Linked DNA regions of Canis lupus familiaris. The protein of the gene in region 1 purifies or fractionates together with the protein of each later gene. This does not show direct contact. Links are inferred from orthologs where the notes say so. Each region holds a gene or a part of one and is shown on either strand. Other genes may lie near its edges.

Region 1 (2,240 bases):
CCCACCTGTGGAGCATGAAGTAAAGAAAGGTAGGTGAAGCATGTGGCTCCTTGTATTCCCATAGCACTTTATTTGGATCTCTCTCTCTCTCTCTCTTTTTAATTTTATTTATTTATTCATGAAAGACAGAGAGGCAGAGACACAGGCAGAGGGAGAAGCAGGCTCCATGCAGGGAGCCCAATGTGGAACTCGATCCCGGGTCTCCACGATCAGGTCCTGGGCTGAAGGCAGATGCTCAACCGCTGAGCCACCCGGGCATCCTTGGACCTCTCTTTAAAGGGTTTCATGTTTCCTGCTTTTTATTATAGTATCTTGTGTATGTTTTACCTCCCTCTCCTAGTTATTAAGCTTCTTGAAAGCTAGGTTAAAATCTGTGAGGCTCCGTAATGAGGAGCTTTGCCTAGACGGTACCTTGCACGCTGTAGCTGCTGAACACAGTTAAATGGAAGACTAGATGGAAGAGTGACTGCATGCTAGGGAATAAGAGGCATGGCACAGGGAAGAGAGCCAGTATTGCTCCCTGCTGAAAACTGTTTCTTGTGTTCTCTTTTTGATAGTGACTTTAGGAGATACCTTAACTCGACGTTCCATTAGCCAGCAAAAGTCTGGAGTTTCCATTACAATTGATGACCCAGTCCGAACTGCTCAGGTGCCCTCCCCGCCCCGGGGCAAGATCAGTAACATCGTCCACATCTCCAATTTGGTGAGCCAAAGTCGCTTCCCACAGCACAGTGTTTAGTGTTTGAGAGTTTGAGCTTTGGATTCCTGTTACTTAACTTCAACTCCTAGATCTGCCAGTTAAGTTATTTACTTACTGAGTGACTGGCTTAATCTCTCACAACGGGTCTCCTCATCTGAAAAATGGGGACAGAGTATCATTGTGCAGGGTCATCTAGAGAATTTGCAGAGGGCCTGGTGCATAGTGTCAGTTAGTGTTACTATTCTTCACTCTTCTCTCATTCCCATGTGAGAGTTCCTGGCCCCTGTGCACCCAGACTTTGAGGCTATACTCCTGTACCATATACTTGGGGAAATCTGAAGACTAATTACAGGGGTATTGTTCTTGCCTTTTTCAAGACTCTGAAACTCCATTTTCCTTGGCAGGTGCGTCCCTTCACTTTAGGCCAACTGAAGGAATTGTTGGGCCGGACAGGAACTCTGGTGGAAGAGGCCTTCTGGATTGACAAGATCAAATCTCACTGCTTTGTAACGGTGAGGGGAGGAAGTTGATTCTCTGGGTCGTGGCATATATTTCCTTCTGTAACAATGTGGGCAGGTTTGAGGGCCTTGTGGCAAGTGGGAGGGATTGAGGCCTGTTGTGACCCTCTGCCTTCTCTCTTCCTCCACCAGTACTCAACAGTAGAGGAAGCAGTTGCCACCCGCACAGCTCTACATGGGGTCAAATGGCCTCAGTCCAATCCCAAATTCCTTTGTGCTGACTATGCTGAGCAAGATGAGGTGAGAAACCTAGGGAAAGGAAGGAGGGGAGGGGCAGGGGAGGCCATTATCTGCTAGAATCCAGCTGAGATCCTGGCCAAACCTGCAGTCACTGAGATTCCTTCTCCCTCTTCTCCCTACCCCCTTGGTTCCTTTAGTTGAACCATGGGACTCCAAAATCTATATGCCCTGGTACCTGGGCTCCTTCAGTGGGAGTGTTCTCCTGTCCATCCTGACTGTCCTTGTCCCTCCTCTACCCACAGCTGGATTATCACCGGGGCCTCTTGGTGGACCGTCCCTCTGAAACTAAGACAGAGGAGCAGGGGGTACCACGGCCCCTGCACCCCCCGCCCCCACCCCCAGCCCAGCCACCACAGCACCCCCGGGCAGAGCAGCGGGAGCAGGAGCGGGCGGTGCGGGAACAGTGGGCAGAGCGGGAACGGGAAATGGAGCGGCGGGAGCGAACTCGATCAGAGCGTGAATGGGATCGGGACAAAGTTCGAGAAGGGCCCCGCTCCCGATCACGGTCCCGTGACCGCCGCCGCAAGGAACGTGCGAAGTCTAAAGAAAAGAAGAGTGAGAAGAAAGGTACTTAGCTGTGGGGACACACATACCTGCTAGTAGGTGGGAAAGGGACCCAAATGGGATGGGATACAGGGTCTTCGGGCGTAAAGACTGACTCCTTTGCTTCCACCTCAGAAAAAGCTCAGGAGGAACCACCTGCCAAACTGCTGGACGACCTTTTCCGTAAGACCAAGGCAGCTCCCTGCATCTACTGGCTCCCACTGACTGACAGCCAGGTG
Region 2 (3,956 bases), on another chromosome or scaffold:
GATCCAGGGTCTCCAGGATCACAACCTGGGCTGAAGGCGGCGCTAAACTACTGGGCCACCGCGGCTGCCCAATACATTTTATTTTTTTAAATTACACTTCAGTGTTTGGGGTACAAGTAAATACATGGCATAGTAATTTTTAAAAGATTTTTTATTATTTATTTATTCATGAAAGACAGAGAGAGAAGCAGAGACACAGGCAGAGGGAGAAGCAGGCTCCATGCAGGGATCCCGACTTGGACTTGATCCCGGGTCTCCAGGATCACGCCCCGGGCTGAAGGCGGCGCTAAACGGCTGAGCCACCCGGGCTGCCCGGCTCTATGGTTTTCATGCAATCTCTGACTAGTAAGGAGCTTGAGCATCTCATGGTTATTAGCCATGTGGGTTTCTTCATTTTAAAAGCACTTTTCGGTTATTTTACCCATCTTCCATTGGGTTGTCTGTTCTTTAATAAAAGCTATGGGACACTAGCTTTTGTCAATCACCTGCATCATGGAAATTTTTTACCACTCTGTGGTTTTTCTTTCTTGATGATGTATTTTAAGGTCAGGCCTCGTGGCTTTACTTTTTTTTCGATTTAAATCTCGTCAGGTTCACCGATCTCTGGCTCCACGCCTTTTGTATCACGTATCCCAACGCACTGATCCTGAAGCGCGTTCACGCTACGCCACAAAGTTCTCGTCCTGCTGTTCACACGCGGGTCCCTGGCCCACCGCGTGCGGAGGCGCCCGTCACCCTCCCGCGGTACAGACGGCTGACGATTTCGCGAGCACACACTGCAGCACCGTCTTCCCCTCCATTTCGCAGCCTCTTCCGTCTTCCCTCTGGCGTCCGGTTCCCATCCAGGTCTTCCTTTATTCCAGAGTTTGATGCTCCGCTGACTCACTGATCCCCTGTACCACTCTCGAGTCCTTCGTTTGCGAACATTCACTACGCGGGAACAATGCCCCGCCGGCTTGTTTGTCCCGCGAACAACTGGCGGTCACTTCCTCAGCCTCCGAACACCCACAGCGACACGATCCCTCAGAAACCCCGCCCCGCGGACGCCAACGCCCGCCTTTTTCCTGAGGACGCAACACGCAGGCGTGGCCGGGCCCGGGCTCACGCGCCGCACAACGAACTGCGCCTGCGCCAGCAAACGCCCCGCCCCTCCTCCCCGGTCCTCTATAAAGCCTCGAGCTTCTCCTCGCGAGAGACTCCGTTCTCATGCTCGCTGCGGGGGTCGGAGGTCAGAGCGAGCGTCTCGCGGGCCGTAGGAGGAAGATGGCGGTGGAGTCGCGCGTTACCCAGGAGGAAATTAAGAAGGAGCCGGAGAAACCGATCGATCGGGAGAAAGTATGGGATCCGGAGAGAGGTGGAGGTGGGCCCGGCGGGGCGGAGAGCGCGGCCTGCGTGCAGGAAGCGGCAGTGTTTGCTCCCCGGGCTGTAAGAGGCCGCGACGCCTCCGGAGGGAAAGGGAGCCCCGGACCCGAGCCGCTTTCTTTAACTTCTGCCCTCCTTTTCCTCCTCTGCTCCCAGACGTGCCCGCTGCTGCTGCGTGTTTTCACCACCAATAACGGCCGCCACCACCGAATGGACGAGTTTTCCCGCGGAAACGTGCCGTCCAGCGAGCTCCAGATCTACACTTGGTGAGAGCGCGGGGTCCGCGGGGGCGGGACCCGGGGGGTGGTCGGGCATTAACACAGTAATTCCCTCCGTGGCTCCGCTTCCTCCCCTTCCGGGTCCTTGGGCCCGGCTCTCAGAAAGTTGGAAGTTTTAGTTGTTAGGTAAAAGGGGATTCTCCCATCTTGTAATACAATTAAGCTTCATGTTCAAACTTTTGGGTTGTGAAGAACTGACGCACCCAGGATTGCTATCACTGTTGTGGCTGCTTGGTATAAAAATACACGTAGATAAATAAAATGCAGTAGCTGCCCTGAAGGGGCCCGTAGTCAACTAAATGGTACTAGAATTACATAGTAAAGTAAATCCTCAAGAGCATTTCTGTGAAATATTAAGCCTTCAATGCTATAGTATTAAAAAAGGAAATCAGCAAAAACCCAACTGATTTCTGATCTGGTGCTTAATGGAAAAGCTTTTAATGTGTGTTTCGTGAAGACCTGCCCCTGAATGTTTATGTGTACCTTCTCTACCCCTAAGTCTTTCTTAGGGCCATTACATGTTGTAAGCATATTTTTAGAGCTGCATATGTTTCCTTAGTTTGACATCATAATGGCTGTGTAGTAGCAGTAAAAAGTTAAGTGTTAAATATATATCTTTATTATATAACGTTAAATTTGCTATTATAATTCTTAAATGTATGATTCAGTTGCATCAGTTATATTCGCATTGTGCAACTATTACCTATTACCAAAACTTTTTCCCCCTCCTTGGCAGAAGTTACCCAGTAAGCAGTAATTTTCCATTCCTTTCTTCCCCGATAGACTCTAATCTAGTTTATATCTATATGAATTTGCCCAGTCTAGGTATTTCACACAAGTGTTGTGTTTGGCTTATTTCAGTGTGACATTTACAAGGTTCATCCATGTTGTAGCACATTCTTTTTTATGTGCACACAACTTCATTTTTTTTTTATGGCTTAATATTTTAATGTATGGATATACCACGTTTTGTCTGTCCACTTTTCTGTTGATAGGTACTTGAGTTTCCATTTTTTTGGCTTTTGTGAATAATGTTGCTATGAACCTGGGTATGCACATATCGTTTGAATCCTTTTGGGTATATTCCCAGAAATAGGATTGCTGGATCATAACATTATTACATGTTTAACTTTTTAAGGAATAAGGAAATAACAAGCTGGTTTTCACAGCAGCTGCACCATTTTACAGCCCCAGAGAGTGTGTAATTTTAAACTGTGAGTCCAGCACTCACTCCTTTAAAGACTGGGACCGTAATTGTCTTTGTGTTGGTATTGGTTAAAGTTATGTAATATGATTTTAGTTCAGCATCATTCCAGGATAAAAGCTCCAGGAAGGTTGATTTAACTTACAAGAAAGAACTGTTACTAATGTATTGATGAAAACTCTGTTCGGGATTGAAGTGTATACTTCTCCAGGCATCAGAGTTCTATTTGCTAGGTGCTGTGCTTAGATTTTGAGGGTATGAAGTAAAGAAGGTACTGCCCCTCCACGCAGTCAGCTCAGCCTACTGGAGAAAGCAGATGAATAAATGCTAATTAGGTAAGACTTAAGGGTGAAGATAGCAGAGTGAGATTGTTCCAAAGATCCTTTACTCCTAATCCAGAAAAAAAATTACGTAAAAATTCTGCCCAAAACTGTCCTATCCCTAAACTGCAACCAAATAAGGAAAAGCAACTTATGTTATACCTTAAAATGATGGTCAAAGACAAAAATTCTGAAAGACTTGTGGTTGGTGTGACAGCACAGAGTCCTGCCCCCTTTTCCAGAAACAGTACTGAAGGAAGATTAGTTAACAAATCTTGGGAATTCTCAATTTGTAGAAGTAGACTGTAGGACTGAATAGGCAGCCCTAAGATAAGTCTAAGAAAAAGGAGTGAAGTCCAGAGGAGCCTAGCAGAAGTCAGTTGAGTTTGCCAAAGTTCAAGGCACTGTGTGGAGTTGGAGGAACAAGCCAGACACCACAGGAGTGGTAAATCTCCCTTGCTCGGGTGGTCATTAAACAGGTTATTGAAAGGGAAGTAATTAGGTAGCTATATCAGGGTTTAGCTAGAAAAATGGAACCAGTCGGAGATCTGTATGAAGAGATTGATTGCAGAGAATTGGCTCACATAATTATGAGGGCTGCCTAGATAACTAAGTCCCTAATCTATGGGGTGAGCTATAAGGAAGGGCCAGGCTAGAACAAACTCTCAAACAAGAGCTAAGACTGCTCACAGCAGCCTGAATTTTTTTTAGAGAAGCTGCACTCTGCTCTTAAGGTCTTTTCAACTACTTGAATCAGGCCTATTCAGATTTTCTGGGATCATTTAAATTTAA

What was found. Proteins that work in one complex are often made in the same cells at the same time.
Region 2: the proteins of ACIN1 (region 1) and SAP18 fractionate together in Homo sapiens (co-fractionation; 7 studies listed by BioGRID and IntAct, with this or other methods). This does not show direct contact. The link is inferred for Canis lupus familiaris from reciprocal best matches to the Homo sapiens genes ACIN1 and SAP18.

Annotation. Positions count from the first base shown.
Region 1 is NC_049229.1:3,494,724-3,496,963, reverse strand, and holds part of ACIN1 (apoptotic chromatin condensation inducer in the nucleus), read left to right. Parts: coding exon 1-29; intron 30-557; coding exon 558-703; intron 704-1,104; coding exon 1,105-1,212; intron 1,213-1,350; coding exon 1,351-1,458; intron 1,459-1,700; coding exon 1,701-2,025; intron 2,026-2,136; coding exon 2,137-2,237; intron 2,238-2,240.
Region 2 is NC_049246.1:17,090,080-17,094,035, reverse strand, and holds the start of SAP18 (histone deacetylase complex subunit SAP18), read left to right. Parts: upstream 1-1,156; 5' UTR 1,157-1,206; coding exon 1,207-1,335; intron 1,336-1,518; coding exon 1,519-1,628; intron 1,629-3,956. UniProt on the Homo sapiens protein: Component of the SIN3-repressing complex. Enhances the ability of SIN3-HDAC1-mediated transcriptional repression. When tethered to the promoter, it can direct the formation of a repressive complex to core histone proteins.